Lytechinus pictus: one gene and its partners. The protein of the gene in region 1 purifies or fractionates together with the protein of each later gene. This does not show direct contact. Links are inferred from orthologs where the notes say so. Each region holds a gene or a part of one and is shown in the gene's direction. Other genes may lie near its edges. The genes, in order: splicing factor 3A subunit 1-like, pleiotropic regulator 1-like, dnaJ homolog subfamily C member 8-like and U2 snRNP-associated SURP motif-containing protein-like.

What was found.
Region 2: the proteins of splicing factor 3A subunit 1-like (region 1) and pleiotropic regulator 1-like fractionate together in Homo sapiens (co-fractionation; 3 studies listed by BioGRID and IntAct, with this or other methods). This does not show direct contact. The link is inferred for Lytechinus pictus from reciprocal best matches to the Homo sapiens genes SF3A1 and PLRG1.
Region 3: the proteins of splicing factor 3A subunit 1-like (region 1) and dnaJ homolog subfamily C member 8-like purify together in Homo sapiens (affinity purification with mass spectrometry; 4 studies listed by BioGRID and IntAct, with this or other methods). This does not show direct contact. The link is inferred for Lytechinus pictus from reciprocal best matches to the Homo sapiens genes SF3A1 and DNAJC8.
Region 4: the proteins of splicing factor 3A subunit 1-like (region 1) and U2 snRNP-associated SURP motif-containing protein-like purify together in Homo sapiens (affinity purification with mass spectrometry; 4 studies listed by BioGRID and IntAct, with this or other methods). This does not show direct contact. The link is inferred for Lytechinus pictus from reciprocal best matches to the Homo sapiens genes SF3A1 and U2SURP.

Annotation. Positions count from the first base shown.
Region 1 is NC_087250.1:20,509,181-20,516,693, forward strand, and holds the start of splicing factor 3A subunit 1-like, read left to right. Parts: upstream 1-4,494; 5' UTR 4,495-4,608; intron 4,609-7,513. UniProt on the Homo sapiens protein: Component of the 17S U2 SnRNP complex of the spliceosome, a large ribonucleoprotein complex that removes introns from transcribed pre-mRNAs.
Region 2 is NC_087249.1:42,998,911-43,006,520, forward strand, and holds the start of pleiotropic regulator 1-like, read left to right. Parts: upstream 1-4,602; 5' UTR 4,603-4,661; coding exon 4,662-4,708; intron 4,709-6,394; coding exon 6,395-6,531; intron 6,532-7,610. UniProt on the Homo sapiens protein: Involved in pre-mRNA splicing as component of the spliceosome. Component of the PRP19-CDC5L complex that forms an integral part of the spliceosome and is required for activating pre-mRNA splicing.
Region 3 is NC_087248.1:8,325,621-8,332,482, forward strand, and holds the start of dnaJ homolog subfamily C member 8-like, read left to right. Parts: upstream 1-3,836; 5' UTR 3,837-4,045; coding exon 4,046-4,123; intron 4,124-6,862. UniProt on the Homo sapiens protein: Suppresses polyglutamine (polyQ) aggregation of ATXN3 in neuronal cells.
Region 4 is NC_087260.1:6,519,623-6,527,393, reverse strand, and holds the start of U2 snRNP-associated SURP motif-containing protein-like, read left to right. Parts: upstream 1-4,765; 5' UTR 4,766-4,814; coding exon 4,815-4,844; intron 4,845-7,771.

The DNA of each region.
Region 1 (7,513 bases):
CACCATGATCATGATAATTAGTCAATATGTTTTTTTTAATATGTCGTCATATTTCGCCTTGCCTCTCATATATCCCATGTGCCGCCAATGATTAGTCTGCAGGCACAGACCCTCATTGAAACCTTGATCAACAAGTGGGTTTCCACGCAAAGACTAACACATACAAAACTTGCTGTTGAGAGAGGGCCTTCAGTACACAAAAGGCATCAGTAGGCTGCACATTCAGACCCTTAACTCGAGTCAAGGGTTTGCACAGCAGACTAGCAAATGAATTAAATAGAGTAATTGAGATATTGAAAACTCACCTTCTTACTCCGATAGTCTACAAACAAAGCAATGTGAATTGCGTGAGGTATCCCTATCTATCAGCTAGCTGCATTCGACGAACTGCAGTTGTCTACGCATCCGATCCCTTTCGCATACTAAAAGGCAGGAAAGTGCATTACGCATTTATGTACCAGTGTAAAATCAAACGTTAATGCTGCACGTGATTAGAATTAAATCCATATGGATTAATACATCTCTCACTTGTATTAATCGTGGTTAGACGTCTGTCAACACTTTTAGTCTCGAAGATTATCTCTGCCTTTTTTCGTGGAAATTTCAGGATTGTGTAATCAGAGGAAGGCGAATGACCTGTACTTTTCATTTTTGTGCATATATAGACTATTTGTAAATAAAGGTTTATTCCACCCCAGTAAATGTTGATTTGAATCAAAAGAGAAAAATCAAACTAGCATAAATCTGAAAATTTCAAATCAGAATGTAAAATAAGAAAAATATGCAATTTTAAAGTTTTGCTTATTTTTTTTACAAAACATAACTCAGTATGTATGATATGCAAATGTAAGAGTCGATGATGCCTCTCACTCTTTCTTTTTTTTTTTTAGTTTGAAGTAAGGATTTTTATTTATTTTTACAATAATGACCAACTTGACTGAACCACAAAATAATTAAACAATGACAATTCCATATGGCATGTGTTCAGGAATACCTTGTTTGAATTTATTTTGGTTTTATTTCATTAATTTCTATATCCATTTTTTGTTTGAACATACAAATAACAAAAACATAAATACAAAATACAATTCCACTGGTGGATCCAGGGGGGGGGGGCACATCTGGTCCATGCCTTCCCCCTTGAGAGGCATAATAAACATTTACAATGTAAATTTGCCGTTCTAACACAAATGTGCCCCCCCCTTGAAAACGAGGACCATTTTTTTCTTGCTTGTCAAATTTTCCGTGGACGAAAATGACCTTAAATTTGGGTGAAAACATTTTTTAAAATTCATATTTCATACAATATAATACAAAATAAGTGGAGAGTAGGTGATGCCATCAGTCCCCCACAATAGGAGCACGGCGTAAATATAACTGTTTTTTAATTAAGTGATTGTAAAGCATTTCGTAACTTTCTTATTTCACATCCGATTTTGATGAACTTTGATGCTTGTGTCATTTTACACTTTTTATTCAACCCAACTGCCTCTTGGATTGGACTTGCCCTTTAGATATTCTAATTCGCTCTATTTTAAAAGGTGGCATGTAGACAAAACGTACTTAATGAATAGAAGCCTGCAATGATTGGGTGTAATTGCATGTGCGGTGGTTGATGAATTTCGATTGGAAGGGGGACAGAGTTTGCCAACCATATTTTTTTCCAATCGAAGAAATAAACAAATTATTAAAAAGAGAATGAAAATAGGGAAAGGATAAAAAAAATTGGGGCGAAAAAAAGAAAAGAAAATGGAATTTGTTTTGGCTTGGTCTTGTAAATATCTCTATATTAAAGGAGCCCCTTTAATAAAAGGGAAGTTTTGAAGAATTTAAGGGGCAAGCCCCCCCCCCCCATCCCGCCCTGTTTATAATAATGGCCCGATGCCAAGCTTCTCATTATCACGTGATTACGATGACCATGATAGTAACAAAGACAGGAAATTAACTAATTAAAATTATAATTAGCAATTAAGTTTGCGGTAGAAAACTTGAGCCATTTCGATTTTGAAATAAATCACAATTGAGAGAGATAGCCGGTTTTAAACACCTCTATCTTGCACTTTTTAAAGTCTATTTTTAAGCCCCCCCCCCTACCGATCCGACATTGGGTCTGCAATATATTCGTTTTAAATAAAATGTTTTTTTTAAGATACACTATTTCAAATGTTTCATATATTTCGTATATTAAGGGAAATTGTGAACGCCCCCCATAAAAAGGGGCGGATGAAGTAAGCGGGTGTTTATGGGAGATTTACCCCTCCCCCGAAAAAAAAACTCCGCAATGATTAAAATTGTATCAAATTATATAAGATGAGAATCATAAATGCATAAAAGTGTGGAATTTTGGTTCATCGCACAATTCAGGTGATTGTATCAATATTATATAAACATTTAATGTTATTGATGAACACGCTACAATTAAGATGGTGAGAAAAAAATATCTTAGCATGCTCCTGATTCTCAGGGGAGCGTCTGATGAAATGACCTGTCAGACGTTTAATCCGACAGTTACCATGGTAGCAGTGCTTCACAGCCAATCAAAATCAAGGAACTTTGTCAGATCTGACAACGCGTTAAAGCAAAATATTTATGAAATTATCCCCATTCATCATAAATTTCCAAATGCAACACGATTTAGTGGAATAATTAAGAGTAAAGTGTTGGAAGAATAATGGGAAATAATAATAATCGTGAGATTTCCGTTATACATTGAACGTACTTAAGACAACATGATTATACCAGGGGCGAATCCAGGAATTTCCAGGGGGGGCATTGTATACAGAAAAAAACTAAGCCTCAAGAAAGCTAGGCTTCACTCCAAATTAATGGTGATGATGAATGAAATATTTGACAAGCAAACAAAATAAATAAATAAAGGGGGGGGGGGGTCCTCACTTGCGTATGCACAACATATCCCCTTACAAAGATTTGTTATGGCTCTCAAGGGGGGGGGGGGCGTTGTGCCCCTTCCTGTAACCGCCATGGACTCGTACATTCACAAGTACGACACCAACTAGAAACCAATCGATAGTAGGTCATTGGTAATAGCGTTTTACATTTGGTTAATTTGGAGTTGATTTTGCCTCGATCTATGTCAGGGGCCGCGGAACGGTTTTCAAAGTGGGGGGGGGGGGGGGGCTGAGCCAAAAGTGGGGGGCTGACCATGCTAAAAATCACAATCATATGGTAATTTTTACGTTTTTGTACACGGTTTTGAAAAAAAGTGGGGGGCTGAAGCCCCCCCCCCCCAGCCCCCCCGGTTCCGCGGCCCCTGTATGTGACTGTGAAAAAAGGGTGATCGACGCACTTTTTTGGGTTCAAGGGCTGTTGAAAATATAACCTCTGTTGTGCGATTATCCTTATAATTAATTCATTCTCATCAAGTAAATTCATTGTGCGAACTGGTAGATTTACAGCAAGGTTCTGCCGTGGATATACTTTATACATGGAAAATGTTGATTATATGGGGCGTCGATACGGGGGGGGGGGGGGGCGGAGTCAGTGCTGGGTAGTGGGTACCCCCTGAGAAAAGTGATATGTGAAAAGTGAATGTGTTCTCTTTCTTCCCCCTGTGCACCATAGTAATGACACCAAAACCCAGCTCCACACATTTATTTTATATTTCATTCGCAACCTTCACACAACCCGCCAAAAACTCCTCAGCAACTTCACCAGCTCTAACAACTCTTAGGAAGTGTTTACATTTTTCAACTGTTACCAGCGATCTCCGACCTTAAAGGGGAAGTTCACCCTGACAAAAAGTTTATTGTAAAAATAGCAGAACAAATAGTAAAAAATATTGCCGAAGGTTTGAGAAAAATTCATCAAATAATTAAAAAGTTATTAGAATTTCAATTATTTGATTTGTGACGTCATATGCGAGCAGCATTCCTACATAGCGAATGGTAAAAAATCAATGAAATGTCATTTTCTCAGAAAATTGAAAATGGTTTTCACTGTACCTTTTGTATATCAATAGACAAATCATTTCACACCCGATCATGAATAGAAAACAAAATTAAGTCATCAGGAACCATGCAAAATTTGAAATTCATGCATTTTATATTACATAACACATGGGGCAGCTGCTCGTTTATGACGTCACAAATCCAAAACTTTGAACTCTAATAACTTTCTTACTCTTTAACGCATTTTCCTCAAACCTTCACCAATAATTTTTATTATTTTTTCTGCTATTTTTACAACAAAGTTTTTTTCAGGGTGAACGGAGGAAGGATACAAGAGAGATAGTGCACAAAGTTGAAATAATGAATTAAGAAAAAAAAGGGGGAAAAAATAAGAAGTCTAGGTCATGGAACTATCAACTCTCAATCAAGAGGAAAAATGACGAAAGGAGCTGCGGACAAGGGGGGGGGGGGGCGGCGAACAATTTTTTTTGATATTGTGTTTTTTATGCAGTTTCAGCAGCAACTCCAGTCTCACAAAATTCGAAATAATTTATGTAAAATTATAAAAATCCTCTGTCGAATATTCCTGTTTGGACTATAGAGGGCTAGGGCTTTATACAAAACGAGAATTGCACGCACAACGATTCTGTTGGAAATAAGTGAACACTCTTTACTTGTTTTTCACTTGTGTAGACCTTCCGTAAGTATTCATTGCTTGATTATATTAGAAGAAAATACTTGTGAACGTTCTTCGAATTAATTCAATGTGAGAGAGAGTTTTAAGAGTGCTTGACTGCTTTTGTGTACGGCTGTACCCTTTGGCTTTGCTTTTAATGATAATATCCCGCCTGCGCAGTGTTCCTTTCGACCGGCTTCGGTCCGACGTGTTGAAATTTATGTCATGTGAAATTAACTATATAATCTAGGAGTTAGGACAAGAGTCCGACTCAAGGCAGCTAATCAATGCTATTGTTCGATGTTATTATGGATTTATCCTTGTTGCCTTGCCCTTTATTGTGATGCAGTTAAAGTAATCAGTGTCTGAAGCCAAACTGGAAAATTTCTGTCATTAAAAACGGGCTGATTTACTCAGAAAAAAAATGGCACTCTTTTTTTTTTTACGGGAAGTTTTTTCATTTTAATTTCAGCCCAAGTCGAGGTTAGCACAGCCAGGACTCAGGCTCCTGAATATTTTGCCAAGTTGTTATATATCACTTCATTTGCAAGTCTTTACATCAAAGTAATACAAAGTCAATTATAATATAGGCCTACATTTTTTAGTTTAATGGGAAATGCAGGGCAATAAAATTCACTATACAGAAGAAAAAAAGTCATAAAGTTGCTCCAAAATATATGTTTTCTTTTGGGTTTTGAGCCCAATTTTAAACAGGTAGGACAACGGAAAAAAACGAAACACCATTACTACTAAAAAACTTTACCTTAATATATTCTTTATTAGCATGATTGTCAAAGACATTGCTCAAAGCTTACGTCAAAATTTCCTAAATAGTGAAAAATAAGGCTTAAATACTCCATAAAATGCGCCTGGAAATGCATGTAAGTTAGCATTTGGCCCATCCCCTTAGGCTATACTGTGTGGGTTAGTGGCTGAAAATAAGCATTTTAAAGTCTTTATGCTGACCTGGCTCTGTTTGAGCCTCTGGGGAGCTGTGGAAACATGTCACATTGATAGATAATCAACTTGGCTGCCAGAAAATATGAAGATGTCGCTACATGTAACTACATTGTTCACTCAAAATATAGAATGAAAATTTGAGGCCAATTCACCTATTGATATTTCGGACACATGTCTACAGCACCAATCAGGGGCCCATTTCATAAAGGACTTGCAACTGTTGTAACTTTGCCATAATGGCAACTACAATGGTAACAGGGCTCAGCAGCCAATCATAATCAAGGTTACCACGGTAATTGCCATAATGGCAAAGTTGCACCAGTTGCAAGTCCTTTATGAAACGGGCCCCTGGTGCCATTGTCTACCCTTTAATTTATAGTCTAAAATAAATGGGCTACAATACCATTTGGACCCTGTTGGCACTAAAGAGTCATATTTTTAAATAATATTAAACATAAAAAACTTGAAAATGTTAAAAGTAGAGGAGCGTTTACCTGTACTAACAGTCTGTTATTGTCGCCACCTTGCCTAGCCGTCTTTGTTATCGTAGCCTAACTACATGATGCGTATAGACAGTGACAATATCATGACATGAGCAGTGCTAACTTAGATAAAAAAGATACTTGCATCGGCCGATAAATATCATGAATACTACCTTAAATGTTAAAGATCCAGACCGGACCCGAAAATGAAATTGATAAATTATATACCAATCGAAAGCTTATAAGCTACTAAATACACCAAGGTATGCTTTATGCATTTTCACCGCTTCCCAGCTGAGTATTTTGCTTAAGAATATTCCAATTATCGGGTTTCGAACCCCGCTTAGAAAATAGGCTTTATTGTGCTTTTCACCTGCCTCGAGACCGTGACGTCACGTTGTGTAAGAAGCGTCGTGATTCCATAGGTTTGTACACAGAAAAACTGGGTGATTTTTTTGCTTTCCAGATAACGCATTTCATTCTCTTCACTTCTATCACAGAGGGATATCACATATATTTTTACCCACAAGCTTGAATTTATGAAATCTGCAGTTTTGAACTAGTTTTTGCCATATTTTATTTCCTGCTTATTTGGCGCAGATTTCAATTCTATCTGCATTTAGATTATGTATAACAACTTTTCCTGACAATTTAGGCCCAATAAGAGCCAAACAAAGAAATCACAAAAAAGGTAGTGAATAGTTGTAGGTTTACAACAATTTGAACAGTGAATAATTTTGAGTGCCATTTTCATCTGAAAACGAAAAAAAAAATGGATTCATAACATGGAAATGGAAGAAAATACCCAATGCTTTTGTACACAAACCTATGGAATCACAACCCTCCTGACACAACGTGACGTCATCATTTCCAGGCGACGTGGGGGTGCTCAATCGAAGCGTACTTTGGAGGAGCAGTTTCTTTGATTTTTATTTAATATTTTTAACTATTGGAAGGAGATATATGTAATATTTTGGGTATATTCGTATTGTATGAATCATATCCCAATCAACTTTTGAGTCTTACCTGAAGACTTTTCTGTTCCCCACTCCAACATTATTGCAAGAATAACTCAATTGTAGCATTACTAGGACAGTACTTGAACTGAATGATGATCCTAAGCACTGTTTGAAGACATTGAAATTTGTGAGATATTTCCTATTTTTGAGCAAGCGCCATGAGCGCCCAGCTGAGGCGGATACCGGCGCTATACAAGAACCCATCATCACCCATCATCATTACCTTTATTTTGATATATGATTGTTTTTACACCGGTCAGGGTCTTTAAGGGAAGATTCATGATATTTATTGGCCGATGCAAGTATTTATGTGCTCGCCTTTGAGACACTCTTGTTCACTGTTGCTTGAGGCACCCTACTTAAAAAAAAACATACCATCAGAAAGAGCATCAAATTTCCTATAAGACACTTTATGGACAATTTTTTTTAATCAAGATGAATTTGTAGACCTACAGTGTAACAGCTCTC
Region 2 (7,610 bases), on another chromosome or scaffold:
AAATATATGGAAAATATATGAGATTAGGAAATTAATTAAAGAGCATATTTATTTTGTCATGATGTTCAAGATAAAAATCATTTAAAAAAGAAATGCAACTACAAGGTACATCAGTAGTCATGTTGAAAAATGTATTTTTAAAGCCGTCAATGGTATGGTATGTAAAACTGTAAGGCTATAACTTGTTTTGAAGCAATAAAACTTTGTTTTGAAGGATTTTTTCGGGCAAGTGAAATATATATTCGGGCAAGTATTTTCCAACTATTTGAAAATTTACTTGCCTGACTGGGCAAGTGCTTCAAAAAAGTTGTGTAGCACCCTGCCAATAGTAATCTTGAATTATGTTAAGAATTGAGCATTCAAAGAATTTAGACTCAGTTATAAAATTACAGAGGAGCTGAATCAAGGTTGTGAAATTATTAGCGGGCTTCCTTGTATTTTCGTAGAAGAGACAAACGAAGTCACTTGCTAGGCCGAGGTAAGCGAAATTTGCTCTTTTTATAATGAAATTATTTCAAACTCATATGTATAATTTTGTTATGTTTTGCTACTTACCGGAAAGAGCCCCGGTGCGTAGCGAGAAGGAGTTTCGGCAAATATTACTTCAGCAATGAAGCGATGTTTGCCGACTACTTCGAAATCCAGGGTCAAACACGGTCCCTTATACGAGGTTAGTATATATACTAACCTCGTATTAGTGTGAGTGGTTTGTGCCCAACTTTGGGCTCTGATTTCATGAATGGAAAATATGTCAGACGTAATCGAAAGCGCATGCGCATTGTGCTTCTTTTCTCGGAGCTCGGAGACGTCCAGAGATGGAATAAAAAATAAAAATAATGCCAGTATAATACTATTAATTCTTCCATATGAAAATAACATACTTTGTTGACATCGTCAATATTTTTAGTATGGCCATAAAATCTTATTAAATTGTAATTATTTAACATCCAATAATAATTTATATGAATTTAGAGCTCGATCCGAGACATTCGTATTTATTTCGATCACAAGCTCGTGTAAAAAAAAAATGGATTATCATTATCAGGATTAAGTCTCGAACATCGTCAGAACTCATATTCCACAATCTTTCCTCACAATCGTTATATCAGCATTGAATACCAATTCAAATGACCATCCAGAGAAAATTACGTATTTATTTCCATCAATTTATTTGGAGCTAATTTTGGATCCAACTACCCCGCCAACTACACAATCTCAGGCAAGTTACAGCGCTCTCCCCGCTGTTTGCACTTGTTAGATGGCGCTGGCAAGCACGCCTGTCGTTTCGGGAGAGTGAGTGAACGGGGCTGCGGACGGGGCTGGTGTGTGCGAGTCTGGACTGCGAATGCTAGTTGACCGAAAATCATTCGGATCGACTCTGCGTGATTCAATTCTTTAATATTGTTTCATTTTAAACCTATATGTTATCATCTGCAAATATCATTGTTGAAGATATTTTGGGAAGAATTCTGCATTGCTACCCGGCCTTTTTTGTGTTTTTTGATCATGGAAAATACAAACGAACTTTGCTCTGTCATCTGCTTTTGCAACGCTCACCCAGCCAGTGTAGACCGTCAGTGCATGTAGTGCATGCATAGCGCTGCATCGACGGCCGGCCGGAGCAAAAACAATGACTCGATTTTCCCCACCTTCAAATTTCGATTCATCGATGATCGATCTAATTAAAGATGTCGAACACCGGTTTTCAAAATAATCGATATGACTCGGGCTTAAAAGAAAGTGAAAGACGGACATGACAGACAGCAACTTAGTTTTAGTCGGTTAGTCGAGGGCGACTGGTCCAAAAACACGGGCCATGCCTAACGTAAGACCAAAAAGCTTCAGTCTCTGTATTTTGGTTGTTCCGCTGAACTGCGACTTGTCTGCGTTGGCTCCACTCACCAATACATAGACTGAAGAGTTGTTGGCCCGTACGTACAGCCGACGTATTAGCAGTAACGTTAGATCTAACTTTCTGCAGAAACCCAATTTTCGGATCGTATTTTTGTACATAAAATGTCACATAAAAAAGAAAGTACATTCGAACTTACTAAAAAATATAAAATTAAGAAATATCGTACCTCAGACCGCAGTTACCGCTAATTCCTTTCAAATGATGATTGAAACATAGTCATCTTCGATCCTTTCTTTGGTCAACGTAAGTTGCCATCTTGGATGACGTCATCATCCTTACAGACGTATTTACCAGTCGCTATATATCGCGATTTGTGCCGCTGCTTTGCGCTTGTAGATGTGCGTGCGTTCGGAACTTGTCGCTCGCATTGATTGGCCAGGATATCGAAAATTTAATCGGAAAGCCTTGATAAAAGCGCAACACACGGCTGCCATTTTTCCTCTCCGGCGGAAAATTAAAAAAATAAGGAATAAATCATCGGTAACGTATATTTTTGATATTTTCTTAGAACTTATATAGTATCAAAAGAAAGATTAGAGTCTAACGAAAAAATAGTGGGCCTTCGTTCTAGATAATATAATGTCATTTAGAATAAAAAAAAAAATTAAAATCTGGTCAAAACCCGGTCGCCCGAATTGCTGACCTGATTACACATGCAGGCTCGCACTAACCAAGGCTCCACATTAACTTTTTTTGTTGTGTCCCGTTCGGGCCACCAAAACCTTCAAAATTTTTTTTTTTGTGGTCCGATATTAAACTTTTGTGGCCCGAAAAAGAAAAAGAAAAACATGAATTAAAAATGAATAAAACAAACTTCTGAAATATTAATTCTGCAGCCAGTACCACTAAGTTACTTTCACTTAATACATCTTGTATGTAAATCTTGTTTGCTGTTATTTTACTTTGCTAATTGATTTGTGTTAATATATAAATTGTTCTATTATTGTAAATATGAAATGATTGAAAGAGAATAAAAGAATTGTATTGTTCCCAGGTTGTGTGGACTTTTAAAAATCTCTGTATAGACACACACTCATAATAGTAAGTAAATAAATAGTGCATAGCAAACTCAGATAGATGTACAAAACAATGATTTTTCCCTTCTTCTTTTTTTAATCCTAAAACCTATATGTAGATTATGCAGGCCCCAAATCCAGTTTATTTTCTCTTTTCCAGCATATCATAGCAGGAGAAAATCACAGAAAAATATGCTGCAAAATTAGATTAATGCATAAAACGGGGAAACAAACAAAAATAATTTTTAGAATAGTATATTAAAAAAAGAAAACAAAAATAATAAAATAAATAAGTGAAATAAAACGAAAGAAAGGAAATGGAGAAAGAAAAAAACAAAGAACAGGGAAAAAAAAGAAAAGAAAAAATTTAGAGAAAAATAAGACAACGGCAAAAGTTATATCTGGAAAAAACAGTGTGAGAAAAAAATCCTTCCCTATATTTGCCAAAATGCTGGAAAAATTCACATTTCATATCAATGAAATGCCTTCCCAAAGTATTAACTTCCTCAAGAGTGGTTTAAGAAGTCATTTATAAACAAGAAAGAAAGAAACTGTCTGTTTATTTTTAGCTAGAAAAGACACAGCTTCGAAAGAAACCAAGTATCAACATACATACAAATGCACATGTGGGACTGTGATGTGTATTAATGCATTTGGAAATTGGTCTTTTTGAGTCAAAAGAGAGGTCATAATTCTTCTTTTTAATGCTTGCAAATAAACAGGTTACACCAGATTTTAGTAATGTGGACTGTAGAAGGGCATTTCATTGGTGTAAAATGTGACTTTGACGTAGATTTTCAAAGTTCTGTGGAAGATTTCTTAGCAGCAACATTTCGTATCGCAGCTCCCTAAGTCTGAATAGTCTGCTAGCGCACAGCTAGCTTCAGTAGTTTCATGCATGCAAAGCTCACGCCAGACGGCCAGCACAGCTGGATAAAAGTTACTGTATGCTATAGCGGTAGGCCTACATACTGTCATGACTATGCAATCTTTGTGTGTGTGTAGATTAACAAAAAGGGCGCATGACGAATTGGCTTGCAATTTGAACTGTAGGAAGTTGATAAATGCATGCAAAATCGGGAGAAAAATTGCGCTGAAAATTATTGGTTGCTCTATTCGGGCCACCAAAACTTAACATTTTTTCAATAATGGTTGCCCGAGGTGAATTTCTGGTGGCCCCGGGCCACCGCTAATGTCGAGCCTTGCTAACACACTACCGTCGGTGAATAGGGATTATAGTGAAATGTCAGAAATTGTTAAATAATTCCCCAGAAACGACGGTTGTATAGAAACGACGGTTGTATGTAAACGACGGTTGTATGTACAAGACAATCAACAGACTGAGCTCACACTGCATGAGCATATTTTGCATCAAAAGTCATAAATTCAAAATGAAAAAGGATCTATTCTTAGGTGTCGTATAAATCAAATAATGGACGTTCTTTTCAATCATGCAATGGACAAAATACTTCATTCAGGGAAAAATGTAATGAATAAGATTAATGGATCATTCATCTTTGAAGTACTTTGTCCATTGCACTCAAAAACATAATTATTTGTGTAGTAGATAATTTTCAATACCTGGTATTTATCATGATGAAATCTGATTAGTAGTCAAAGGCTGAATTTGCATGAATTCAGGGTAAAATGTCAATGTTTTATTTAACTTACAGGTCAGTAAACAGTCCGTCCATACCCTGGTGTTTCGATCACTCAAGAGGTCACATGAAATGTTCATAGCTGATAATGCCCATCCTCCTAACAGGGATCCTCATGCGTAAGTATCAAACATCATTTTTTATTAGTACATCTTTGGTATGGGCATATTGTTTTTGACACTTTCATATGTTATGATAAACCTTTTATCTCCTAGTGGGCCATATTTCTCATGAATTCTGTAATCTGATTGGTCAATTTGTTTGTGAGACAAACCTATATTGAACAAGCTGTTGTTGTTTTAATGTTGTTCTCATTGTTACGCGCATTCCCAGTGATGATTTCAACCCCGTAATATGAGACAGTATTACATGTGTATTCAAGCATCGCGCTGCGCACTACTATTTGCTACTATCAATTTCAATAGCATAATGTGCATTATTTTTACTGTGATCATTGTGATGTCATGGATGACTTCCTTTCAAAAATCACTCTCAAAATGCAGGGTTTGCATTGATTTTTAGTTCTATTCTATTGATTTCCCCTATTCCAAAATAATATAAGGATACACTTAAAGAGATAAAATCGTTACACCTTGCTTGTATCTACGTGCATGTTCTGGTTACATAATATGTGTACAATCAGGGTGTAACTACATGTAATAGTATCTTTAATTTTGAACAAAATCACTATTTGTTTTTAAAGGATGGAATAATTTTTTCAATAGTAAACCAAGTTGTATTTGATGGAATTAGAAGTACACGTCATAAACTAATGCCGGAAGTTTTTAGGTGAAAAGGATCATCAACCATAAAAAAAACATCCTCAGCTTTATAATATCTTGTCAATATTGATCAACAATAACCCACACAAGTACTTGATTGAATGCAGAAGACATTCAGTGAGAGCTTTAGACATGCAACCGTTCCCTTTTTAGAGTGTTTGTTCCTCTTTTTTGCTATGAATACGCAAATACTTTTCTTTAAATTTCCGATCATGGAGTATAGATTACACACAGCACGCGACACTAACGCCGGTCCGACCGTCCCAGACCGGTAAAAATCACTGTCAGGCCAGTAACTTGTTACATGAAAAGAACAAGTAAATTCTTGCCTACGAGCACATGTTAAAATGGTGAATTATCAAGTTTTCAAGTAGAGTCATTTCACATATTTTTTTTTACTGATCTCACTACAACAGGCTGGCAATTGTTACGTTGAGACAAATCTTTAAAGATACTCTTTTTCCTTCTAAGAATACTTTTTTTTGTAGAAGGTTGGCAGGTCTGAGAATAAGGAGAAATTTTACCAATTGGAATAGTTGGAATTTACTCAATCATGAGATGTTTTTCATAAAGTTTTGTAATCAAATGGCTTGTTTCTGCAGAGAACCATTCAACGGTATTACCCACGTAAGTATCCATTATCAATCCAGAATTCTGGAAAAACTTCCCTGTAGAAACAGACGCGATGCAGTTTATTGATAAACTGCATCTCATAAACACCTCCCAGAGGTGATTCTGAGAAACCGTATTTTGCACGATGCGGTTTATTGATAAACCACATCGCGCAAATCACCGTTTCTCATAACCGTGTTTATCCGTTTATTTGCAACGCGGAATGTGAGTTAATTGGATTATTCGCTCTGTAGAAACAGGATAGTTTAAGGGCGATACAGTTATTCGATTCCGGAATAAGAACCTTTCTTAATGATTCTCTGTAGAAACACGCCGACATTTTTTTGTCACTTTCCGTGCCAAATATTTCCATATATACATGTATATCCTTTACTTTGTGTGTGCTAACAGAGATACGGTTAAGGTTGCCTGCAAAGTTAGAGATCAGTATGGGATGGTACAGAATCTTACAGCTAACACAGAACACCAGAGAATAGCTGAACTATCACACAGAGAAATAAGAGAAGGGAGCCAGGAGTATGAACAAGGTAACCCGATGACTTGATTGTATAATAATTTAGGCATTATGAACATTAATGTTTGATTGGTTGGTTGGTCGGTTGGTCGGTCGGTCGAACGGAATATATCAGATATAAGTTTACAAGGTAATATATGTAAACATGTAATATATATAATAAATTTATAATATAGTTACATTATAAGCATCGGTTCAATAATATCAAACAAAATGACAGTTTTAAAAGAATGCAGGAGACTGCCATCGTGAGCAATAAGGCTTGATAATGATGGCGACCTCGTAAAAATCATACCAATAAAGAAGAATTGGCTGAAATTATAGAAGTCGCTCAATTACACTATATGATTAAGGTCTGAGTAGTTTCATTTCAAAAATCCTACTGTAGACGGGTCAATATATGGTTTGACCCGGAACAAATTGCAACAAATGATTTTTCAACGGTATTTTGTACTATCTGACCTTAGAAATAACATACTAAAAATCTACCAAAATCCGCATCCGGGAAAGTGGTTATTTTTAAGATGGCGTCCAAGATGGCCGCCATTCACTAAAAATGGATATAACTCAATCATTATCCACCCTAGAATCCTATTTGGGTTCATATTCCATGGTCCAATTGGTAAAATAATTTATTTATACAAGTTAGAGTGAATATTAGCACTCCAGGGTACCAGGAAAATCCAAGATGGCGCCCAAAATGGCTGCTGTAGGCTGAAAATCCACAATTCATCTAAATTTGTTTTTTATTCAATGGTTTTAAGGATTAAATAGTACATTGAAACAAGTTACAAGGACAGCCAGTGGTCTGGTGTGTCCAAAAATCCAAGATGGCTTCCAAAAATGGAGTTTAAAATGGATGTTGATAATTAAAATGGACATAGTTCATTTCATATCCACCTGAGAGATATGATTTTGGTGTCTAGACCATGGTTTCAATGGTCAAATAAGACATTGGGACAAAGTACAAGGACAGTCAGTGGTCCGGTTTGTTCAAAAATCCAAGATGGCTTTCAAAAATGGAGTAAAAAATGCTGTTGCTACTTAAAAGAAAAACCAACATAGTTTGTTCAATATCCGGGAATATGTTTT
Region 3 (6,862 bases), on another chromosome or scaffold:
TTGTTGTTGTTTTTTATTAAAGGCCATGGATATCCAATTATAAAACACATGCCATTGGCGTAACCGGATTCAAAATATTGAGGGAGTAATACGTGGTGTATGTGACAAGGTTTCCTTAAAGTTCCCAAAGAGCGAAGAGAGCGAGAAAAATTCTTGACCTTTAAAACTGAAAACGTAATTTTGTGATAGAGTTTTACAAAAAGTTCCATCATGATATTTTGCCCTTTTGTGTTGTTGGGTCGTATAACTTTTTATGGGGGCATGACCCACCAAGCCCCCCCCCCCCCCCCTCTTCCTCATTTGTACACTAGTGACAAATTAGCAAACCACTGTTTGCATAGAGTTGAAGTTCCCCTACAAAGCTTTTTTTTATCTTTGGCATGCATGTCTGATGTCTGGGGTACATCGATGATGATCATGATAGGAATGGTGTGGACATGAAACACCTGTGTTACCCGATGTCTTCTGCGGTTATTATTGTATGTGGCAATAGCTATATCGGAAAGCAATCGGATTAAATGATTGGCTATATTCTATTTTTATTATTTTACAGGATGAATAATAACCTATCGTCCACCCTGAATGGAAAAGTATTTAGTTGGGTCAAAGCTTCGAACATGTCAAAGAATACGCAAATATTTCATTGCCGCAATCTAAGGGGTTTACGTTGCATTGAAGTAAACATGGTCAAACAGCGCCATTATAACTGCATGGAAATTTGAAATATTGGACATAACTTGAAAAGTATGACGTATATGAATAATTTAATAGAGTTATTTTCATATCCTTTCAAATCCTTTCGGAGTGACCTCAGAGATAAACGCTTTCGGAGCCAGAGCAGACTGATTTACTGACATTGTTCTCTGAGCGAAAGGGAAAGAATGAAAACGAATTTTACTGTGTTTCACAAAACGTTTCCATTCTTACAAGGAAAGTTTGCTTGCAAAGACAATCTCTTTTTCCTCATACCATATTTTTCTTTCTTTTAAAGAATTTTGTTTTGATGAGAGCAATTCTTCGATCACGTCGATTAAAGCTTTAAACTACAAACGGTTTTTTTTTCACAATAATAATTTATAAAAAAATAAAAACAAAACGAACCTGCACCTCAACTAAACTTTGAGCTGAAATAATGCGTCAGGGGAAGGATCAATGTATTTTTAGTGAATTCCGCGCGGCGATTGACGTAGTGATATATACCGCAAAATGGTCATGTGTATTTGAGGTTTATTAGTTCAGAATTAAGCTCGCTACCATGTTGACAATTATGGGTTTAATAGTAAGATAATCAAATTCTACAGAATGAAGGGAAAACGACCCCACCCCCTCACCGCCAACAAATTACAGGAGTGAAAGTTTTGCTTTTAATTTCACAAAACAATCATGTGGCACATCCTGCTCGGTATGCAAATGAAGGGAATGATGTCATCACCTTTGTATATTTTAATTTTCTCCTCATTGGCATGAGAAAAAAAAAGTTTTATTTCTACCTGAACATGCGGAATTGCCATTGTTTAACGTCATCAAATTTCATAATTTTGTTTTAATAAATAATTATTATTTGGGGGAACCACGCTAGGGTTTATTTCCAGTTCGTCTAATGCCAACTCGTGTAATATTATTTGGTCTACCATCAGTTCGTCCACTCACCACATGGTCTACTTTCATTTACTCTAATGCCATTCCGTCTACTCCAAGTTGGTCCAATAACCATTTAACCATCATTTAACCATCTAATTGGACTAAGTGTTAAATTGCGCAAAATGAATCAAAATTAAATGGATAGTAGACGTAGACCAAATGTTTAGGAGACGAAATGGTGATTAGACGAATTCTTGATTGGACCAAATGTTTAATGGACCAAATGGTTGTTAGACGAAATTTTGATGGACAGAATGGCATTAGACTAAATGAAAGTAGGCCATGTGGTGAGAGGCAGTAGACGAATTGGCCGTTTCATTACCTCCACAAGCATGGATCCTTTCATTTCCATGCACATTTGATATTATTTTGCACAAGCTTTTGTTATTATAAATTTTAGCTATTTTACAATATTTACAATTCATTTTTAGTTGATTTTTGTTTAACACATTTGATTTGTATATCTATATTCTGATGTATGATGGAAATAAAATAACTTTCTTGATTGTCGAATCTCGAAGCTCAAAGAGTCAAGTTGGTCCTTAATCTGTAAAACTTGAAATTTATACTTCAAACAATGAGTATTTTTTTTGTTCTTATTTTTTTTTGGGGGGAGTGGTGTTAATTGTTCATGGTCGATTTGATACTGTAATTAATTGTCGCTCTGGAAATGCTCTCTTATGTCAGTTATTAATGGGCTGGGTGCATAAATTGCCATCATTGATTCTTTCGTTCGACATCGATACGGTCACGTGTGGGTCATTATCTAATGAACCAATTTCTTGCCAACCCCAACCATGGATGTACGACTAGACCTGATGTGACCGTTTTGCTGTGTCATTCCACCACATCAATGTCCATATAGACTGAAAATAATTGTATGGTGCAGTTTATATCCCTATTACTTGTATTACGCAATAGATTCCAACATATATTTGTTAAGCCATGTCTTCATGAGGTTTCTATTATTTTCCTGCGATGATTTTCGATAATAAAATGTCTAGACCTTTTGTACAGATGATAAAATGTACCATACCATTATTGAAAGACATGAGTTATATTAATCAGGAAAAGGGTACTTTAATAATAAATATTGATTCATTCAATCTTTCTACCCCTCTTCCCCGCCCCCTCTCTCCTCTCTCTCTCTCTCTCTCCCACGTTGCGACGAAATTTCTGATACTGGGAGATTAATTGCTTATTTGTATTTTCGAAAACAAATATTATTCATGCTCTCGGCCAGTGGCGTAATTATCTAAAAAGATGTTAGGGGGCTAGAAATTGTCTATCATGTAAAATTTATTTAAACAAAAAAATTGCGAGCGAGCAAACGATTTAGACACTTTTGTTACAAAAGTCCAATTTGTTACTAGATTCAGAAAATGATATATTTCAACCTTCTTTATCCTTTCCTTGCCCTTTTTTTCAATTTCTGTTTTTTTTTTGTTCGTGAAAGGAAGCCAAGCCCCCGCCAGTGCTCTTGGCCCCAACCACAAGCATTGGCTTTAAAAGTTTTCACAATCCTTTCTACTGCATTGTATTTTGTTATATTAAAGTTATATAGTCATATTTCAGTGGTAAATGAATAGGCGAAATTTGAATTAAAACAGAAAGTGATTTTTTATTCAAACTGAACTCGAAAAGGGCGTGTAATGAATGGGATTATAAGACCACAACGAGGGCTATCGATTGGTACATGTCGGTGTAAAAATTAAAGAAATAGACATTTTTGTCATAATCGAGGCTAAATTTATTGCATACATGTAAATCAAGGCTTTAATTTCATTTAAAAAAAAACGGAGCACTTTTCCCTCCCCTTCGCACATATGCAGTGGCGTATGCAGCGGGTGGTTACAGGTGTTCAACCCCCCCCCCCCCCCCCTAAAAAATGTCAATTTTTTTTGTTTTTTTTGTTGGTTAATTATCACTCACAACTGGGCGTTGTGGCGTGCGCCTGTAATCCAAGCTATGCGGGGAAGTTACAAATTGATGCAGAGGTTCGAGGTTCGAGCCCTGGTCACGTCTTTCGGATGGTGACGTTAAAGGTCGGTCCCAGACGTAAATAATCATATCTGATTGATACACGTCTGACAAAACTCAAATACACACACACACACATACTTCTATCAAAAATTCTTTCAAAAATTCTGCGTACGGGTACGCCACGTGCACTGTGCCTCTGTTCGCCCCCCCCCCCCAAAAAAAAAATGCAATGGATGAAGTATTAAAGAGGAACTGAAGTACCGTGTATATAAATGTGAAACATATAATAACACCTCATTAAAAGACAGCTAAATGATGAAGAACTAAGACTTAATAATTAAGAGATCGAGAAAACAGGATAAGGAGGAGCTGAGATTGTAGCTGAGCTTGAGCTAGATCTAGATGAGAAGAAACTTGAAAAATGGCTTCCTCCTCATCTGCGACGACGGCCTCGGGCTCGGGGCAACCCGAAGCAGCTTTCTCAAATTTTATGACTGAGGTAACTATTTTCTACCATGAAATTAATTTTAATCTTTAAGTGTTCTTATTTGTGAAAGAAAAAATAAAATCCTGTCCAGGAAATGCGCGTATTTAAGGTATAAACTATGTTGACTTCGGTCGTTATTCTTCTGTGTTGTCCCACGTATTGACTTTTGTGAGGTGCGATGAATGGAACTTTGTGACTGACTTTGGCTTTGCATTTGTGGCTGTTTTATGTTGTTCCGTGTTCGCTCACTAACTAACAGAAATACATGTACCTTACATCTGATATCCTTGGTCTATTTATACTATAGTACTTATAGGCCTAAGTTATGAAATTAGTCACCTCCCTGCCGGCTGCCTGTGTGTTTGCACTCATTTTTTATTCATTAGTACAAACAAAGTCAAAACAATGTGAGTGGAATTGGAAAGAAGTCGCCAGCAGCGCTCGCTGCCACTGACGAAATAAACGGCAGTGAATGGACTGGTGACTAAACCAGGATAATGCCCTATAGTATATAGGGGTAACCCACTCTAGGCGACACCCCAATACTTACCCGTGCTAATAAACTGGGACTCCACTCACGCGCGTTTGGGCCTCCCTAGCTTAGAACTAAGCACTAATATCACCTTAAAAACTAAATCTACAAGGTATGTATAATCTATTTACAACTTTAATAATGTTTAATCGGTACTCACCGGTTCTTTTGTTGCATTTTCAGACCATTTCTCACAATTCTTCGTAAATATTTGCGGCAAATTTTGTCGCCATAGACAGCTTAGCATCCATCTTTATTGATAAATGGAGCGCCCTTTACGATAGTTGTTAATGCCGCGGAGAAATCGTTAGGCATTTTGGCCTGTGTTCAAGGCGTTCTTTCTGTTTTATTTTTTATATTGAAGATTGTGCATTTGTTGAATAGCGCCGTCTACGTCAGGTATGAGATCGAGTGTATAAATACACTCTTCCAAAATAATTATGATTCCGACCTGGCGCTGTTTAACTTCAATCTCTTTCACCTAAATTAGCGATGAATGCTAGCATTATAAAATATATATTATTAACGTCTGACGAAAAGAATAACCAACCGATCAGCTGACGAGAACGCGAATCACGTGATCTTCATATCAGCTTCGATCGCGAGTCAGAAGAGAAGAGCAACTGCCCAGAAAATCAGGAAAAAGCCGTGAAAATGTAAGTTCCCCTTCATTTCTTTCATTTTTTGTTGTTGCTAACGATGCATTTACACTATAAAATTATAATTTAAATAAGAGAAAGGAATATAGCTTGTACTTGTGATATAATGTATAAATATCCTGTTCTCAGAGATTTCTAACCAAAAATACTACTGATGTCGCCTATGAGGTCCATACATGTAATGTTGGACCTCATTGGTACTAGGAGTGGGGTAACCTACGATATGACCTCTTACTTTTTAAGCAATCTAATAACATGAATAAGTAAGTAGCTAATATTTTTTGTTCTAAAAATAAATATTAAAATCTAACGTTAGACACCTATCTTGGGGCACTCTAGGCGACACCCCAATACTTACCCGTGCTAATAAACCGGGACTCCACTCACGCGCATTTGGGCCGCCCTAGCTTAGAACTAAGCAATATTATCTAGAAATTGTTAAATTGTAGTCATGAAATATGTTCTATTAAATAAATTGATAATGTTTAATCGGTACTCACCGGTTCTTTTGTTGCATTTTCAGACCATTTCTCACAATTCTTCGTAACTATTTGCGGCAAATTTTGTCGCCATAGACAGCTATACATCCATCTTTATTAATAAATGGAGCGCCCTTTACGATAGTTGTTAATGCCGCGGAGAAATCGTTAGGCATTTTGGCATGTGTTCAAGGCGTTCTTTCTGTTTTATTTTTTATATTGAAGATTGTGCATTTGTTGAATAGCGCCGTCTACGTCAGGTATGAGATCGAGTGTATAAATACACTCTTCCAAAATAATTATGATTCCGACCTGGCGCTGTTTAACTTCAATCTCTTTCACCTAAATTAGCGATGAATGCTAGCATTATAAAATATATATTATTAACGTCTGACGAAAAGAATAACCAACCGATCAGCTGACGAGAACGCGAATCACGTGATCTTCATATCAGCTTCGATCGCGAGTCAGAAGAGAAGAGCAGCTGCCCAGAAAATCAGGAAAAAGCCATGAAAATGTAAGTTCCCCTTCATTTCTTTCATTTTTTGTTGTTGCTAACGATGCATTTACACTATAAAATTATAATTTAAATAAGAGAAAGGAATATAGCTTGTACTTGTGATATAATGTATAAATATCCTGTTCTCAGAGATTTCTAACCAAAAATACTACTGATGTCGCCTATGAGGTCCATACATGTAATGTTGGACCTCATTGGTACTAGGAGTGGGGTAACCTACGATATGACCTCTTACTTTTTAAGCAATCTAATAACATGAATAAGTAAGTAGCTAATATTTTTTGTTCTAAAAATAAATATTAAAATCTAACGTTAGACACCTATCTTGGGGCACTCTAGGCGACACCCCAATACTTACCCGTGCTAATAAACCGGGACTCCACTCACGCGCATTTGGGCCGCCCTAGCTTAGAACTAAGCAATATTATCTAGAAATTGTTAAATTGTAGTCATGAAATATGTTCTATTAAATAAATTGATAATGTTTAATCGGTACTCACCGGTTCTTTTGTTGCATTTTCAGACCATTTCTCACAATTCTTCGTAACTATTTGCGGCAAA
Region 4 (7,771 bases), on another chromosome or scaffold:
TTGACCTTGCTACGGCCCTCTCCATACAATTGATCTCAAATATAATTATGAAGGAGACCCGTACACGTACATCGCCAAGATTGATCACATTTATATATATATATATATATATATATATATATATATATATACACATTTACACATTTATATATATATATATATATATATATATATATATATATATATATATATATATATATATATATGTATATTTATGTATATATATACATATGCCTTAAATGTATGTTAAATTATCTTATGTAACAATCACGTGTAAAAAAAGGCAATCGAAGACCACCTTTTTTAATGTGTTCATGAAAAAAAGTCATCACTTTTTTAAAAGAATAAATGTGACCAGGTGGGGATTCATAAAGCTATTCGTAAGTCTAGAGTGACTGGTAAACCCTTCTTACGCTCTAAAAAGAAAGGATCCCCAGTCGTTCTTAAAGCCGCTCTTAACTTACTATCAGCTTTGTGAAACTGCCCCCTGAAAGCATAGAATTTTAAGCATTTGGGGATTTTAACTTCTCATCAGAATGTAGGCCCTACTAAAATTATGTGAGCGGGAGCTAACATTTCTTTATAAGGGGCGGATCCAACTTTCGCTAACTTGAGGGGGTAGGTGGAAAAATGTTTTCATCTGTATGTTTTCCCCTGGGGCCCGTTGCAGAAAGAGTTGCAATCAATCGCAACTCTAAAAATCATGCGCAACTTGATTTTCGACCAATCAACAGCGCGCATTTTGGACTTGCGGTTGATTTTTTGACTTGCGTTGAAACGCAACTCTTTCTTCAACGGACCCCCGATCGGATATTAAGCACTTTTTGTAACCGTGAACGTGATGGGTATAAACAATAAATTGATGCTGGTGCGAAACGGGAGATGAAAATTTTTTTTTTAATTCTGACCTCAAATTTGGAAAGTCTGTAAGCACTTTTGGTGATCAAGAACATTTGGGTATATATCTCAAAATTTTATGCAAGCGCAATGCGCGAGCTGACAATTTTTGTATTTCCGACCCAAACTGGACATTCTAAGCACTTTTTGTAACAACGAAGAGGTTGGGTATCTATATAAATATTTGATATTCTGAGTTTCTGACCCAAAACTGGATATTCTAAGCACATTTTGTAAACCATGAACAGGATGGGTGTCTATTATTGTGCGAGCGCAAAGCGCGAGCGCGAGCTGAAAAATTGATATTCTGACATAATATTTGGACATTCGAGTAAACATTTTTGGTAATCATGAACAGAATGAGTATATATAGCTAACAAAACATTTTATGCGAGCGCAAAAGTGCATGCTGAAATTTTTTGATATTTTGACCCAAAGTTGGAAATTCTAAGCACTTATATCTATCCATGAACAGGATCGATCGTCACCTTACTAAACAACTGATGCGAACGCGAAGAGCGAGATGAAAATTTGTGATATTCTGACCTTAAATTTTGACTTTCTAAATCACTTTTGGTAATCATGAACAGGATGGGCATCTGATTGTGCATTTGTTATTGTTATTGCAAATTGTTTATCGAGAATGTTCTACATTTTGTTCTATTGTCACTGTATATAGGCCCCCTATTGTTATTGGTTTTATGATTATTACGTTATTTAGTGTTTACCATAAACACTTATTTACTTTTCTTGTACAGTCATATTGCTTGCAATGGATATACATGTATCCATTTGTATCGGTTTGTATGGTCTTCATTTTATATCTGTGTAATTATTTCCTATATGTGATGTTGTAGGCTATCATTGAGTTGAAACTTGAACTTGAACTTGAACTTGATGTTTTGGGTTTTTTTTTCTCGTATGTCGGTCTAATTCTATCTCGGAGCTTAACATTCTTTGGATACATGTGTATGTTTTTTGTTTTTTATCTTCTTTTGATAGTGATTTTTTTTTATCAAACCGTAAACTTTGTGAATGTGTTTTTTATTTTTTTCAATAAAACTAATATATATGTATATATATATATATATATATATATATACCTGCAATCTTACCAGGTTGCGCAATCTTACATTATATCATGTAAACTTACAGGAAATTGGTATTTGGTGTATGGAACCTTACAAATTTCCTTGAATAAAACAGCATTTTCTCCTTTTAAAACAGACCTGTTCTGTTAAATTGCAGAAAAAATTCTTGTTTAATGAATTTGCAGAATGATTGTTTTACTGCTTTCTGCAAAATCTTCTTTTTTCTGTACTGATTCACTACTGAATCACGTTTTTCATATATATATATAGAGAGAGAGAGAGAGAAACAAGGTTGAAACTTTCATGCTTTAAAGGAGAATGAAACCCTTGAAACCAGCTGAATCCATATCAAAGAGAAAAATCAAAGAAACATATTGTTGAAAGTTTGAGGAAGATTGAATGAATAATAAGAAAGTTATGAGCATTTGAATATTGAGATCACTAATGCCATGTAGATCCTCTCATTGGCAATTCGACCAAGATCTGTGATGTCACACACGTACAACTCCCTCATTACTTTAGTACTTATTTCACTTATATTCTCACTTTTATAGAGTCTATCACAAGGTGAGGTGTTCTCTTTATGAGATGACAAGTACCAGGCGCGGATCCAGGAGGGGGCCGAGCCGGCCCCGGCCCCCCTATTTTTTGACAACCTGCAGAAAAAAGTGTACTCTTTAACTTGATAGAAATTATGAAAAACAGAAAGAAAAGTAAGAAAGAGGTAGCATACCCATGATGTGTAATTTACAGCCTCGTAACGGCCGGCCCGACCCCGAAAGGAAACAAGAAAAAGGTGAGGGAAGAATTGGAAAATAGACTTTATATAAAAGATTTCGCTCGCGCTTCGCGCTCGCATTGCCTGTGTAATGAATCCCATTCAAGAGAATTAAATGGCACTTATATATCCAGTTCTGAAATCAATTTGCACACAATATTTTAGCTCGCACATCAAGCTTTCATTATTTTGTTTGATTTACACAAATTGTTAGTATATATCACAATTTTCAGCTCGCGCTGCGCGCTCGCATTGTTTGATTTGTGAGTTACCTATCCTCTTTGAAAAATTCTTACCAAAATTTGTCAAAATGCTCCTTTATCATGTCAGTATATCAAAAAATTAAGCTCGTGCTTCGCGCTCGCATTTAATTGTTTGAGACACACAGCTTTGTTCTTTATTAAAATAAAAACGCGCTTAGACTGTCCAGTTTTCAGGTCGGAATATCAAAAAAATTTAGCTCGCGCTTCGCACTCTCATTATTTAATTGGTGATACTTGTAATCCTCTTCATTTATCACTAAAAAACAGTCCTAATTGAATCCTCTTTTCACGTTACTATAATAACATTTCGACTCGCGCTTCGCGTTCGCATTGTTTAGTTGGATACTTATCTTTTTCATGATTATAAAATCTTCTCAGAATCTTCAGGTCTAAGGACATAAAATATCAAAGAATTTGAGCTCGCGCTTCGCGATCGCATTATATATTAAGACCACATGAGATACCTTAACTTGTTTATAACAATAAAAACTAACATATACTTAAAACTTCAGTCTTTAGTTAGGACTACCCCCTGATAAACCAACAAAAAATCTGATTATATAGCGGCCAATCGAGAAAAATGTTGATGAAAATATTTTTCGGCCCCCCCCTATTGGCGAAAGCTGGATCCGCCCCTGAGTACAGAGGTTTCACAACATTATATCATTGATGAATCGTTTGTCATATGATTAGAATGAGCAAAAAGAGATGTTTGGGGGTATATTTTCAGTGTCCAAAAGGGGAGAGTTGTTCATCTGTGACATCATAGATATTGGTCGCATTGCCAATGGGAGGATCTCCATAGCATTAGTGATCTCGACATTCAAATGCTCACAACTCTTCTATTGCTTGTCTTATTTTACTCAAACTTTTGTTGATCTTATTCTTTGATTTTTCTGCTTTCACAAAAGCTAACTTGCTCCAAGAGTTTCATTCTCCTTTAATCCAACAAAATTTATTGAAGTCCACAAATTTTCGACGAGTATACAAACCGTCTTTATCGAAAATTTGTGGACTTCAATAGATTTTGTTGGATTAAAGCATGAAAGTTTCAACCTTGTTTCTCTTAATATTACTCCAACACGTGGAATATCTACCGAATATATATATATATATATAATTTATATATATTCTTATAATATATATATATATATATATTCTTATATATATTATTATAATATATATATATATATATATATATATATATATACATACATACATATATATTTCAGTTTGACGCTGATCCACCACTGTTTGCATGGGCTTAATTGCCATATGGGCCATATGGACGCACCATTAGATAGGCTGGAAGTTTGGGTTACTTAATTGATGCAATTTTTTTTCCTTTCTTCTTTGTGTAAATTTTTTTTTCCTTAGTCCATCGAAACAAGTTTTTTTAATTGCCCCTTTCCGGTCCTCTCGGATCAGTGATTTGTCAGTGGACCAATTTTTTTTTTTTTTTTTTTTACTCTATATCTGCATGGTGAGCCGGATGGTGAGTCATTTTTTTTCCTTTTTGCTCATTATAGCAAGTCAATTTTTTTTTTTGAAAAACTTGCAGCCCCCTGGATATATCTAATGGTGCATCCCTAAAAGGATCACTCGATCTAGGGCCAACCATGTATTGTATTTAGGAGACATAGTTTTGATAAATGCATGCAGTATCCATTATCCAATGTGCAGATCTGGCGACGAGCTCGCGCCGCGCCCGTACGTACCCGGCCGGCCGGCCGTGCGCGCGTGCGATATGTAGACGCGTGCGTTTCTGGTCGAAGGTTATTCATCATGGCGGGCCTCGCTCCTGGAACGGCGAAGGTGAGACGAGCTTATTATATTTTATCATCAGTTATTGTAAACTTATTGTAATATTGATGGTGTTTCTGAGTCTTTGAATGTTTTTTACGAGTGTTGAATAAAGATTATATTTCTTGACACCTTGTCCGAAAGGAAATATTGCAACCAAGCACGCAGTCATGTCACTCAACGCAACTGTGAACTGGCATGACTGGTGCCGCGCCGTGATGGAGTGAGTGAGTGAGACTGACGTGTGTCACTGCATACAGTGCATGCAGGCCCAGGCTAAGTTAGGTGTGAGCGTGTCGATTCATTGCACATGCACATGCATGTCTGCTAGCTGCCTGAGTGTAAAATGTGAGTTATACGACTGAAAGAGAGTGACTGAAACTAAGTTAGTGTATTTGTCTGAAATGAAAGATGCCAGCAGTACCAGTGGTTGCCCCGGGGACCTCGACACGTCTATTTAGACAGTGTCGAGGTCCTGAATGCAACCACTCGTTATCACCGGAGTACAAAACTTCGCGATGTTTGGCATTAGAAAACCGATGATCATAATGAATTAAAAATCTAACGAGTAATATCAATCTTACCTAAGCAAACTGTTCCTAAATCAGCTTACCTTTGAAATAAGAATAATGAATACAATTCCATGAAATCCTTCAAAAGAGCATCAATTTTCGGACTTTTGTTCCAATCGCGAGATCGCCATGTTTGAGGTAAAATTCTGCGCATGCGCATATGAATATTTATAAGATGTCGTCACTGCATGCCTTTACAGCACAGTTTAATGAATATGCATGTAAGAGTGAAAACTTTCGGCAAGTCGTCTCTATTCAATTAAATCGTGATTTAGGCATATAATTCAATACCATTTTTCATTTTTTTTTTTTTTGGAAAAAAATAGATCTATATTTATGAAAAAAAATATTTATTTCATATATATTTTTATTTTGTTACATTTTGTGTTTTTATGATAAGTTTTTGTTGTCATTTGTTATATTCTTTCTTTCTCCTTTTCATTCTTTCTTTCTCCTTTTCATTCTTTTTTATGCTTTGTTTATGGGAAGGGGGGGGGGGGTAAAGCGTGAATGTTCGCTTGGTGTGTGTTTTATTTCATATAACTTCCTCAAATTATTTTGATTTAATGATACTAAAAATGAAAAAAATATTTATCAATAGTGTGCTTGTGTTTTAATATATTCAGAGATTTCTAGATCCGAATTTTTTTAGTCTGTATTATTATTATTATTCCCTTTGTGATTATAAAAAATCCAACAAATATTTACAAATGGATTCTAATTTTACATTTAGAATAACCAATTCATGATTTTCTTAAATATGAATTCTGATTCAATAACGTAAATGATTTCATGTTATTTATCTTTTTCACATGTTATAACAATGAGGAAGGATTGAATATGGTTTTAAAACAAAAGGAAATACTTAAAAACAATTTTGCCTGCTTTAAAAAGAAATGCTAAGTCAAGATGTTAATATATATTTATAATTTAAAAAAAAAATCTGCCGCTTTGATAATCACCAATCACCATTTGTTGTTTAATTCACCGCATGGCAGTAGCATAATCAACCCCTCACCTGCCCCCCCCTTTTTTTCGGGGACGAAATATCCTCAATTTTTGGTTGAAAAAAATTTTTTTTTGCTTGTCAAATTTTTCATTGGCCCTGTGCCCCCCTTTTGGAAAATCATGGATCCGCCCCTGATTGAACTCATTTATATGGAGCACTTCTACACTGTCAAAAATATTTTTAACAACGCTGTTTACTGTGAGAATTGCATAGTAGTTGTTTAAACATTTTAAACAAGTGTTTAAAATTTAAACAATCATGTTTAAATCATTGATAATTTAATATTTGAATTTAATTATTGATAATTAAATATTTAAATTTAAAATGTGTGTTTTAAGATTTTAAATACTTGTTTAAACTGTTTAAACAATTACTGTGTGATTCACATCGTAGACAGCGATTTTAAATTTATTTTAACAGTGTATTTGAATGATTAGGAACTTAATTAATGGCGCAAAGTAGACGACAGGAGATTGATGACATAAACTTCCATATAATTCTATAGTAATATTGTACTGTCTTTTTTTATATATACGGCACAATTTTTATAACTCCCCCTTTTAAATGAGGAACAGGCCGTCCGTGGTCCCCAAATAAATTATGACCGACTAGTAAAGAGCTGAAAAACGGAAGAAGTAGCCTTTGTGGGTATACGGCATTATCATTATAGAGTTTACCACCCTGACCTATAAGGATCGGGAACGTTGGTGATCATTTTGAATAAAATATGACTTCATATACTTTGACCTATAATCTTAATACTAATTCCGTTCCCAAATATTATTCTTTAAAACTTGATGCCGCCACAAAACAAACTAGCAATATAGCCGAGATGAAAAAACGGGGTAATAAAGAAAAGGTAAACAAAGGAGAAAAACAAGGATTTTCTCGCAAACATGCGCGGAAGTAAAATTTTAGAGAGAATGAGAAAGAAAATCCCGCAAAGCTTTCTTTTTCGCCATTGTTTACCCCTTCGCTATCACCGTTTCTCTTCTCTTTTTTTTTGGGGGGGGGAGTTAGGGTGGGGAAGATCATCCCACCGCCTCCTTGCTACGTACTTGTTATAAAAAAAAGGAAAAGGTGCATGATAATGAGATTTGCATATATTTTCATTTCATTTATTTTAAATTCTCATTAAAACATACAACATACAATTGAAATTAAAACTAAGGATACATGCACAGTATACAAAATAAACAAAATGGAAAACATAACAAGTGAGAGAGAGAGAAAAAAATATGTGGGAGCCAGCATTGGATTCCGTGATATTTTTAAAATCATTTTGCATCACGGAGTCCTCTAGGCTAAGCCAGCAACAGAGCTGCCAAATAGTACGATTTTGTCGTATTCCGTACGAT